Oryctolagus cuniculus: one gene and its partners. The protein of the gene in region 2 interacts with the protein of the main gene of each other region in a pairwise test. Links are inferred from orthologs where the notes say so. Each region holds a gene or a part of one and is shown on either strand. Other genes may lie near its edges.

Evidence for each region.
Region 1: the proteins of THAP1 (region 2) and ACOT7 interact in binary tests that used the Homo sapiens proteins (3 or more experiments, as listed by UniProt). The two-hybrid records come from large-scale screens. The link is inferred for Oryctolagus cuniculus from reciprocal best matches to the Homo sapiens genes THAP1 and ACOT7.
Region 3: the proteins of THAP1 (region 2) and CHLSN interact in binary tests that used the Homo sapiens proteins (3 or more experiments, as listed by UniProt). The two-hybrid records come from large-scale screens. The link is inferred for Oryctolagus cuniculus from reciprocal best matches to the Homo sapiens genes THAP1 and CHLSN.

Annotation. Positions count from the first base shown.
Region 1 is NC_091438.1:161,105,758-161,110,297, reverse strand, and holds the start of ACOT7 (cytosolic acyl coenzyme A thioester hydrolase), read right to left. Parts: upstream 3,006-4,540; 5' UTR 2,684-3,005; coding exon 2,514-2,683; intron 1-2,513. UniProt on the Homo sapiens protein: Catalyzes the hydrolysis of acyl-CoAs into free fatty acids and coenzyme A (CoASH), regulating their respective intracellular levels.
Region 2 is NC_091433.1:92,915,011-92,917,542, forward strand, and holds the end of THAP1 (THAP domain-containing protein 1), read right to left. Parts: intron 2,216-2,532; coding exon 1,841-2,215; 3' UTR 625-1,840; downstream 1-624. UniProt on the Homo sapiens protein: DNA-binding transcription regulator that regulates endothelial cell proliferation and G1/S cell-cycle progression.
Region 3 is NC_091450.1:36,496,311-36,500,800, reverse strand, and holds the start of CHLSN (protein cholesin), read left to right. Parts: upstream 1-1,485; 5' UTR 1,486-1,689; intron 1,690-4,490. UniProt on the Homo sapiens protein: Hormone secreted from the intestine in response to cholesterol, where it acts to inhibit cholesterol synthesis in the liver and VLDL secretion,leading to a reduction in circulating cholesterol levels. Acts through binding to its receptor, GPR146.

The sequences.
Region 1 (4,540 bases), on a different chromosome or scaffold from region 2:
GCCCCAGCAAGTAGCTGGACTGGAAGCAGTATGGCTGGGACTCGAACCAGGCATTCCAACGTGGGACGTGGGCAGCACACACAGCAGCTGAACTGCTGTGCCAGGCACCTGCCCCAAGGTCTGACATCCTACGACTTGACCTTCAAGAAAGGAAAAAAGTCATTCACTAATTAAACATCGCTACTCCAAATAAGTCAGAGGGCGAGACGTTAAGTGCTGCACCAGACACTGCATCTCTTCGGGTTGGAACAAAGGAAGGAGGGACAACGTCGCACAGTGGTCTGGCTGCCCAAAGTGCCGGCTCTCAAAGGGGAACTGCTCCCTTTGTGAGCGCTACGCCAGACTGGGCCAAAGGTGCTCACCCTCACCGTGACTCATTTACAGATGAGGTCCCACCGCTGGCGGCAGAGCTGGGGCTTGAACATGGGTGTCGCCCGCAGTGCGAGCCATCCGCCAGACCCCAGCTAGACGTTCTGTTAGTGAGCGCTCACAACCACCCGTGAGCAAATGGGAGCACAGAGCGGTCACGCGGCGAGCGAGGGACAGAGGCGTTGCCAGTAACCGCTGCCCTCGCCTGCCTTTAAGGCCTCTGATCCTGGAGCATCCTGCCTGCAGCACGGCGTCGCCCTGACCGTCTAGAATGACAGGGGCGTGGGCATCCTCGCCCTGCTGAACCGTGACCCCCTCAGGGCAGGGTCTCAGGGTTCCCCGGGGTCAGCTTTCCCTCCCAGCGCTTTGCTCCTTGGCAGTGTCCCGTGGAGTCTTGTTAAATTCATGGGCCTGGTAGGATGTGTCGGGCCAGGAGGCTCCGCTTTCAATGCAGGGCATCAGCTCGGGTATCCTTAAAGGCTCCCCACTCCAGCGCGTCCACTCTTCAGTGTCCTGGGGCTTCTGTGGGTCAAGCCCACCTGACCACAGCCCTCTGCCCAGCACCCTCTCCCGGGGCAGGCGTGCCCTGCGCCCGAGGACCACTTCAGCCGGGCACCCTGCTCACAAGACCTCACGGCCAAGCACCCACTTCAGAGACGGTGCAGCTGTGAACCAGACACGCGAGGCGGCCCGGCAGGTGCAGCGCCCGAGAGAGTGCACATGCAGGCTTACGGGAGCATCTAAAGCCTTACAAGAATCTGTTTTCCTGTTAGTTGGAAAAAGACAATATATATATACACCCAGGCTACTCCCCACCCTGAAGAAGTAAACACGCCCAGCCTTCCGCAGGCAAACAAACTCTTCATTTGGGAGAACGGTGGGACGAACACTGCGTGGCCCTCCCAGAACTACTCAGCCCCCGGGATCCTCAACCGCTGGCTCCACACAGCGCCAGCACGGAGGTCCCGACCCTGCAGCCTTGCAGGGAACCCAACGAGATGGAGATGAGCTCAGGCTCCTTGCAAACAAGGCAGCCCGGTTCCGGGATCTGGCTGCGGGCCTGTCTGTCTGCCAACATCAGTCACTTTCATTATCTTTATCCCTGCCTCCCCCCACCACCACCACCTGAGAGGACAGCACACAGCCAGGGGCACAGGGCTCCCCCATGCACGCTTCCCCTCGCTAGGAAAGCCAAGATTGACCTTAAGACCAACAAAGGGGTCTCGGCCAAGCCAGAGAACGGGGAGCTGGGGGCAGGAGCTCCAGGCTCCCAGAGAACCAGCTCCTTCGGGAAAGTAACTGGCCCAGGGTGGACACGGCTGGGACCCCAGGTCAGCGCGATGCCCAGCGTGGGGAACCCGGCTTGGTCCCCCCAGCAGGACAGAGCTGGCCTCGCCCTTGTCCGCCCGCACTGATGCCTCTGCGCCCGGCGGCCTGCCGGTCACCTTGAGGCTGCCCTCCCGTCCTCCTGCCTGGAGACCAGCAAGCTCCCACCCCCCGCGGCCGCTGGGGCCCGCATCTCTATCCCGACACGCGGGTGTGGTGGGGGTCGCCGAGACGACTCTGCCTCCTATTGTGTGAGATGCTTCGGGCCCGCGCAGCTCCCTTTCCTTAGCGGTAAGCCGCTCCAGGCCAAGAGCCCTGATCGGTTCTGGGCCTCCACACCTGCCCTCTCCGAACCCGCCGCGGGGGGCTGTGGGGCCGGCGGGCGCAGCCCCCTCCCTAAACCCACGGCGAGCGGCCTCCGGGGGGCTCCGGCGCCGGTCCTCCACCCTCGCTTCCGCACTACAGCCCAGGGGGCGATCCCGAAGCTCCGGGGGCCCAGAGGGCATCCCGGGCCGGGGTCTGAGATGTCGGGTGCACCGACCCCCTCGCCGGTCCTGGCCCCGGCCCTCTTCCTCCCCCCAAACGGCCGGTGCTGGCGGCAGCGCGGCCGCCGCCCTTGAGATGCGCCGAGAGGTGGTGGGAGGAGCCCCCCGGGCCGCGTCTACCTCAGCATCGCCGGCGCATCCCCGCCGCCGGCGGCCCGGGCCCCGAGACGAGGGCGCGGGGACTCGAGGGGCGATCCCCCGGCGCCGGGGCGGGGATGCCGGCGGCCTCGGTGGGCGGGGGTCGCAGACCCCACGGGTGGGCCCCTCTCTTACCGGCATATCTGAATGGCGGACGGCGTGTCGGCGGCGGGGCCCGACATGCTGGCGGCGGCGGCGGCGGCGGCTGCAGGCGGCGGGAGGAGCGCGCAGGTGTCTGGAAGGCCCGGCGCGGAATGAATGAGCCCGGGCGGCGCCATGGAGGGGGAGGGCGGAGGCGGAGCCATGGCGCCGGCAAGGCGGGGCCTGCGCGCGGGGGGCGAATCGAACGCGGCCTCCCCGTGCGGGCCCCGCCCCCGCTCGGGCCCCGCCCCTTTCCCCGCCCCCCTGGCCGCCACGGCCGCGGTGGGCCCGCGTCGGCGTCCGGTTCTGTCGGCGGAGGGGGCTGCCCCGGGGCGCGGCTTCCAGAAGGTTCGACGGCAGTTGGGCGGGGTCGGCCCGCGGGCGGCGGCGGCGGCTGACGGCCCTGCAGCCTGCGAGCGCCCGGCGGGCGCGGCCCGAGTCGCGCAGCTCGGCGGACGCGTCGCTCGCCTCCGCGGCGGGCAGAGTCGGCGGGGCGTTCCCTGCGGGTCGCGCCGGCGATTCGCTGTCTGCGCCCCGTGCTCCGCGGGCCGGATGAGGTCAACGCGGAAGGCCCGGCCCGGCGTTCGGGCCTGGAGCCGCCCGCCGGGCGCTGCCGCCCTGCACGGCGGCGCGCTCTCGAGTGGGCCGTGAGAGGCCGAGTGCCGGCCCCGGGGGTGGTGGCCGCTGTGGGGAACACGACATGGGCCAGCGCGGGCGGATAGGCCGTGCCCGCGCCGCCCCGCCGCTGTCCAGGCGTCCGGCTCCGGGGCCCACGGCCGCAGGGAGTGGGGGCCGCCCGGATGCACGCGGTGTCCCCGAAGTGAGTCCAGAACGAGTCTGGGGTCACAGAATCCACCCAAAAAACCCCCCGGGAAGGGTGGTCAGCTCCACCTGCGGGGGTCCGGAGAGCTTTTTTGTTTGTTTTATAAGATACATTTTTATTCACGTGAAAGAGTTAGAGGCACAGAAACCTCCCCTGCGCTGGTTCACTCGCCAAGTGGCCGCAGGGGCTGGGCCAGGCCAAAGCCAGGGGCCTGGAGCGCCACCCGAGTCTCCCACGAGCGCGGCATCTGCTGCTTTCTCAAGCACGTTAGCAGGGAGCCGGATCGGAAGTGGAGCAGCCGGGACTCGAACCCGTGCCAGCACCACAGGCTGTGGCTTAACCAGCTGCGCCACAGCGCTGGCCCAGTACACGTAGTTTTCCCACATGAAATAAGTTTACCCAAGCATGAAGAGCCACGAAGCCTAGTTAAACACCACATCTTCCCAACGTGGACCCTGAAATGCAAGGGAAGAGGGGACCCACTTTGGGGGTTCAGGAAGGAAGTTTCGAGATCCCCGAGGGGAGGCGATGGCTAAGCGCAGCCCTCCTGACCTCTGCTGGAGTTTATGAGGTTATGACTGTAAGGAGGTAGCAGGTTAATAACTCTTCCTCCTCCTGGTTCTCTTCCCCACCCGTCATTCTGTTTCTTTAATCCTTCCCAGGTGGATGCAATAGAACAAGGAATTGTCCAGGCCCTGCCCTGTTTGCATAGGTGTGCTCGTCCAGCTGGACATCAGAAGTGCTTCCTGGGGCCGGCACTAGGGTGTAGCGGGTAAAGCCGCTGCCTGCAGTGCCGGCATCCCACATGGGCGCCGGTTCGATTCCTGGCTGCTCCACTTCCGATCCAGCTCCATGCTCTGGCCTGGGGGAGCAGTAGAAGATGGACCCCTGCACCCGCGTGGGAGACCTGGAGGAAGCTCCTGACTCCTGGCTTCAGATCGGCACAGCTCCGGCTGTTGTGGCCATCTGGGGAGTGAGCCAGCAGATGGAAGACACCTCTCTCTCTCTCTCTCTCTCTCTCTCTCTCTCTCTTTCAATCTTTCTCTCTGCCTCTGCCTCTCTATAACTCTGTGCCTTTCAAAAAATAAATAAATCTTTAAAAAAAAAGAAAAAGAAGTGTTTCCTATTTCAAACCTCCCAAATTGAATCCAAAAACAGTCCAGGCCACTCCACCAGCGAGAAGGCGGTCCTAGGCGAG
Region 2 (2,532 bases):
TAAATGTTCTACTTTCCTTGGCAATGTTACAAACAATAAAATACATCAAATGAATTTTAAAACACTCAACAAATGTTACATCTCGAATCACAAAAAAGCGCCTGCACCTCAAATTCCTTATGCTAAATTATGATAAATTATTTAAACGGAAGCAGTTGGTGTGCATGCTGCTTGTTCAGTTCTCTCCAAGTGAAAAATTAAGTCTGTTATGAAAAGAAAGCAGTTCCAGATTAAATAATAAGTCTAAGATGCTAATTATGATTAATACTTTTATATCCTAATCTGGATTCTCAGTTCTGGGGACACACACACACACACACACAATCTTTCATGTAGAAAGACAAAAATTTAGGTTGAAGACAAATACTTGGCAAAGTATCTACCCATGTATCTTCCAGAAATTGCTAGAGAGATGAACAGCTACGAGTTCCATAAATAACCAGTGAACATGCATTCAACTGAGTTAGTTCTAAATGTTGCTAGTAGACTATGTGACTTCACGTAATCTTCTTATCATTATTTCCTATTTTGAGACACTGGTTCCTAAAATATCAGGAATCAAAGTACTATCCATGGCAGTGTGGCAGTGAATTACAATGAAAACGAGGTCTACAAAAGACACAAAATGGTTCCACATTTTAATACTGTCTTGAAAGGTCTGTTACTCTTCAACTACCTCAGTGCATTTATAAAAGTGACAGAGTTGGAATAGTTATTCTAAATCTAAGTAGGTTACTTCTATTAGCAGTATTTGTTTACTCAGAACATATTTCCATTTCAAATATATGTAAAATTTCTCACAAAGTCAGAACACAACTCACAGTCTGAACAGAAACCTCAGTGTTTAAATCTCAACATTCAGCAAATAAACATCATACATGAGGCTGCTTCTGAATACAAATCACTCATTCAGATAAACGGGGTACAATTTCTAACTTGTTAGAAGAAATGATTTTTTTGGTGAAGTTTTGGCTAAAATCAATGTTACTGAAAAATTAATATAAACAAACCAAACTCTAGTACCACATTTGTTAAAGCTTTGGACACAGATATCACCTCAGGAGGGAGCTGGCTGTCCTTTACCTAGGGGTCATTACAGAAACAAGCGTCGTGGTCAGGCCCTAGCTTTTACTACTCACTGACAACAAAGCCTCATTTTGTTTACTGAAGGATTTTTCCTTCACTGAAGACACACTTCTAGCTTAACAGTGGGGAAAAAAGACAGGCCTACTTTAAAAAAATCTGTTCTTCATAAAGTTACTTATTAAGTAGATGTTCATTTTCTGCTGCAAAGACACTCAAGTCTTTTCAAGTACTGACTTGCTGATTTGACAACTGACTCAGAATGGTAAATGAAACCTCCTGACTTCACCTGTAAGAATCTGTGAGTATAGGTATGTATATACTTATATATCTTTTGACGTTATGCCCGTGATCTGATCCTTCTTGATTTAAAATATAACTAAATTTCTCAATAAACAGCATGAATTTTAACTTTTAAACTTAAAACTTACTGCACTGTTCTCATTTTTTTTACTTTTACATTATTTCTATAAATATTCTAGAAAACAAAAATCCCCAATATTGAAACCAACTTACATTGGCAGTTTGAGGCTAGTTTATAACTTCAAAGATATTTTGTTAAAATGTAAAAACCCTGAAATTACAAACAAAAACCTTACAATTTTACAGTATATATCTAATTTATTTTTTTAAAAAAATATTCTGAATTGCTTTTATACAAATAATCAAGTGTTATTTTTTTCAAAGGAAACTCCTTTACAGGCTAAAAGAGGGTGTGTGGTGTTGCCCCATTAAAAACTCAACGCATGTCTCTTGCTCATGCCGGCACTTCCACTATCTCAAAGCAGTCACTTGGCAGAATCACGTAGCCTCTCTCCGACGAGTCGTCTCTCTCCTTCTGGAAGTGCACGACCTCCCTCAGCTTTTCAAGCTGCCGCTCTTGTCTTCTGCATCGCTGCTGTGCCGTCTTGAGCTTCTTCCTGAGTTTCTCGACCTGCTGTTCCAGTTGCTGAATCCTTTTCCTCTGGTGCATCGTGTCCTCCACGGTGTAGTTGTGGTCACAGAAAACCGAGAGGTTGTCAGGGGTCTGCAGAGGAGGCATCAGCAACCCAATAGCAGCATCCATCTGGGAGATGGGCGGTGTTAAAGGAGCTGGAGGCAGCTGCTCCTGTGAGCCCAGCACATCTTCCTTCTAGAACAATGAAGAACAGCATGTCTGAACTTAGTAAATGACAGTGCAAAACAACTCATCTGTGGAAGTTAGGAAATAAGACGTTTTTGTGATTCTGTGGCACAGAAACATCCAAGTAGTTTCCTTCTGAAATAAACTTTCCAACTTAAGGAGAAATGGTAAGCAAGAAAGAGAGAAAATGGTGACACATTTAAATACCAAGCACTTAAAACTAACGAGAAAAAATACTCTGAAACCAAAATGTCACAGATAAAGAAAAATCAAAACTTATCAACAGGTGCCAGGGCTATGGTGCAGTAGGTTAAGCCTCTGCCTGT
Region 3 (4,490 bases), on a different chromosome or scaffold from region 2:
CGAAGTTGGGGTTAGGGATTTTAAATACATACAAATCCGACATAGTGATAGGTGGGTCACGCGGATGTCAACATGCTGACACACGCCTGTGTCCACCGAGGGCCCAGAAGCACAGCCCACACCCACGTCTTGGATTCTAAACCCCACGCTCCACCACGGGGACCCCCGCTCCGGGGACAGGCGGGGATTCCCGGCGAGGAAGGCTGAGGGCTCTCACTGACCCGGGGAAGGGCCTGGCCTCTGCAAGCCGCAGCGGTGACGCGGGCACCCCCACGGAGGAGGCCGGCACAGGGTGACGACGCGCTCCTGGCACGTTGTCCGCAGCACGCTGGCCGCCCACACACGAGAAGGAGCTCGGCAGGGCGGCTCCGGGTCGCGAGGACAAGGCAGCCCCCAGACGCGGCGCACCCAGAACGCGGCCCCGCTTCCGCGCCGGGCCTGTCCGGTCCCGAGAGGACCGGGGCAGCGTCCGAGTGGCCCGGGCGCGGGCGGGGAGCTCCCGGGGGCGGCACCTGCTGCCTGGGCGTCCTGAGCAGGCAGACGAGCCCGTGCGCCCCGATCGCACACTTCCTGCCCGTGCAGGGAGTCTGCCCGCTGCGATGCGCCCACAGCCCGGGAGCCTGCGCGCAGAGCCCACAGCGAGGACGGCGCCAGGCCGAGCCCCGGCTGCTCCACTCGGATCCGGCTCCCCCGGGGGAAGATGGCCCAGCCGTGTGGGAGGCCCGGGTGAAGCTCCTGGCCTCAGCCCGGCCACTGCAGCCCCGTGGGGAGTGACCAGCGGGCAGAGGACCCCCCTCCCCGTCTCCCTTCCTCGCTCTGTCCCTGCAGGAAAGGACGTTGGCCCACGCGCTTGGGCCCCCGCTCGGGGCACCTGGAAGCAGCTCCGGCTTAGCCGTGGCAGCGGATAGAGACCTTTCTGTGTCTGGTTCTCCAGCCCCGCCATTTCCGCTAAGTCAAATAAATCCAAAAGCACAGGTCGGGCGGGGCCTGAGTGGCCCGCTGTGGACGCCCACGCCAGGTCTGCAGCACCCACGCACCCCCCCCCCCCAGCCGGGCAGCCCGGCGGCGCCTCTGGAACCTTCTGGAGCCCAGCGCCGGCCGGGACTTCAGGGGGCGGGGGCCGGGCCACGGGGCGGGGGCGCACGGACGGCAGGCGCGGGCGACATGTTGCATGGGGGGGGGGGTCTCTAAGTTTGGAATTACTTCGAGACTACATTAACTTGTTTAACAAAACGGAAGGCTCCGGCTCCACCGCGGGACAACCCTGGGCAGGGGGCGGCCCGGGGGCCCCAACCCCGCCCCCAGCCCCCAGGCGCCTCTCCACAGAACCGGCCTCGGCCGCGCTCGACGCCGCTGCCGCTCGCGAGAAGCTGCGAGACTGTTCGGGAGGGGGCGGGGTGCCGGGATTGGCCGGCGGACAGTGACGTCATCGGAGCGCCGGGCCGCGGCGCGCCGGGATTGGCCGGCCGGAGGTGACGTCGCAGGGGCGCCACCGGGACGGCCGGGCTGTGACGGGTCTCCGCGGCGGCGAAGTGGCGGGGCGCTGGGGGAGTCGTGATGCCGGGGCTCGGGCGCCGTGCTGCTCCCGGTGTCGCCGTTCTGGGGGCCTCGATCCCGGGGACTGACCGCGAGAGGGGCGCCCGCCTCCTGCCGGCCGCCGCAGCTTCTCGGCTCCCGGACGAGGGCCAGGTACGGGGCTGGGCCCCTGGCCGGCGATGTTGCAGGAGTGCAGGGGTCGTAAACCCACCCCCAGCCGAGCCGCAGCCATGCACGGGCTCGCGGCTGCTGGCTGTCCTCGCTGCGGGCACCGGCCGGGCGGACAGGGCGCCAGCATCACGGCAGTGACCCCGCGGAGTGACCGCAGGCCCTGGGCGGTTGTTTGAGCGCCCGCGCTCCTGGTGGGTGAGGGTCCAGCCGGGAGCCGCGTGCGGGCGGAGGCCGCGTGCGCCGCGCCGTGCGCCGCAGTGGTGTCCGAAGCCGGCAGCTGCGCTGGGGTGGGGGGCCGCGCCGCAAGGTAACCTGTCCCGGGTGGGCGGCACACGGCCTCCCGTGGTCACTTAACTTTTTAGAAAACGATTGATATGGAAGTCGCAACCCGAACCCCAACCCCAACCCTGGCGAGGGAGGGAGAGTCAGAGGCCTTCCGTCTGCGGGGTCACTCCCCAGCCGAGGCCGGGCCAGGTCACAGCCAGGAGCGGGAGCTTCTTCAGGCTCTGCCCCGTGGGTGCGGGGGCCCAGGCTCTCGGGCCGTCTTCTGCTACTTTCCTAGGCGCGCTGGCAGGGGGCTGGGTCAGAGGTGGAGCAGCCGGGACCCCAACCTGTGCCCGCATGGCACCGCAGTGCCGGCCCCCAGCCATTTAACTTCATGAAAATCAAGTAGAATTTGGAATCCGGCTCCGGGTTCGCTCACTGCACCGTCTCGGGCTGGGGGGGGGGGGGGTGTCGGTCGTTGTGACGTCACCGCGACGCCTGGTTCTCTGGACCTGCCACAGTGGGAGGAAATAGGACTGTGTCCTCATGGGCACGGGACCGTGGGAGCCGGGCGGGAGCCCGTTCACGGGGCACAGGACCGTGGGAGCCGGGCGGGAGTGTATTCACTGGGCACAGGACCGTGGGAGCTGGGCGGGAGCAGGTTCCCCGGGCACAGGACCGTGGGAGCCGGGCGGGAGCCCGTTCACGGGGCACAGGACCGTGGGAGCCGGGCGGGAGCAGGTTCCCCGGGCACAGGACCGTGGGAGCCGGGCGGGAGCCCGTTCACGGGGCACAGGACCGTGGGAGCCGGGCGGGAGCGTGTTCACTGGGTACAGGACCGTGGGAGCCGGGCGGGAGCAGGTTCCCCGGGCAGAGGACCGTGGGAGCCGGGCGGGAGCCCGTTCACGGGGCACAGGACCGTGGGAGCCTGGCGGGAGTGTATTCACTGGGCACAGGACCGTGGGAGCCGGGCGGGAGCGTGTTCACCGGGCAGAGGACCGTGGGAGCCGGACGGGAGCGTGTTCACCGGGCAGAGGACCGTGGGAGCCGGGCGGGAGCGTGTTCACCGGGCAGAGGACCGTGGGAGCTGGGCGGGAGCCCGTTCACCGGGCACAGGACCGTGGGAGCCGGGCGGGAGCAGGTTCCCCGGGCACAGGACCGTGGGAGCCGGGCGGGAGCGGGTTCCCCGGGCACAGGACCGTGGGAGCCGGGCGAGAGTGTATTCACTGGGCACAGGACTGTGGGAGCCGGGCGGGAGCCCGTTCACCGGGCACAGGACCGTGGGAGCCGGGCGGGAGCGTGTTCACCGGGCAGAGGACCGTGGGAGCCGGGCGGGAGTGTATTCACTGGGCACAGGACTGTGGGAGCCGGGCGGGAGCCCGTTCACCGGGCACAGGACCGTGGGAGCCGGGCGGGAGCCCGTTCACCGGGCACAGGACCGTGGGAGCCGGGCGGGAGTGTATTCACTGGGCACAGGACTGTGGGAGCCGGGCGGGAGTGTATTCACTGGGCACAGGACCGTGGCAGCCGGGCGGGAGCGGGTTCCCCGGGCACAGGACCGTGGGAGCCGGGCGGGAGCGTGTTCACCGGGCAGAGGACCGTGGGAGCCGGGCGGGAGTGTATTCACTGGGCACAGGACTGTGGGAGCCGGGCGGGAGCCCGTTCACCGGGCACAGGACCGTGGGAGCCGGGGGGGAGCATGTTCATGGTACTTGTTCACTGGTGACTGTGGCCTTGGTGTTGTGTCCAGGTGATTCAGGTCACGTGGGTAGAAATGGGAGGAAGACTAAGGAAAATGTGGCTGAGAGGCGGCCCCCAGTGCGCGGCCACAGTGTGCTGGGTGGTCAGTGGACGCTGCTGCCTGGCCGGGGCAGGGTGGACGGGGGGTGGCTCAGCATCTCACGCCTAGGTCTGCGCTGGCCGGGGCTCAGCCTCCTGCCCTCTCTGGGCGGCGGGGCGGGGAGGGCGACTCAGGCCCCGCCCACTGGCCAGGCCAGACTGCCGGGTGGTCTGTCCACTCTGGCTTCCCTGCGCCCGGCTGGAGACCCTCAGCGGTGCTTTATTGTTTGGTGGATTTGGGGCACCAGGCCGTGTCCCCAGCAGCAGGCCCCGGTGGTCCCGGTGGTCGCGGGACTCCCACCTCCCCCACCTGAGGGGCAGGTGCGGGCTGTGTGCTGTGTGTGAGTGCTGGTGTCTGAACTGCAATGCCTGGTTCCAGATGCCCGCGTCCCGGTGAGCCCGCTGTGTCACAACTCCGTCCCGGTGAGAAGGGGCAGAGGTGGACGTGGGGTCAGCGAGCCCGTGGACGGGGACTGCAGACGCCACCCTGGGAAGAGTTGGGAGCAGGTGCAGGGGCGCCCCTGGTTCCCGGGGGGGGGGCAGTCCTGAGAGCGACCCCAGCAGGTGCAACGTGGGACCCTGACGCCACGCGGAGTGTCCTGTGTGCGCGTGGTCGCAGGGGTTTTTATTTTACTGGAATATTTTTATTTACCGGAAAGAGTAGCAGAGAGCTCCGTTCA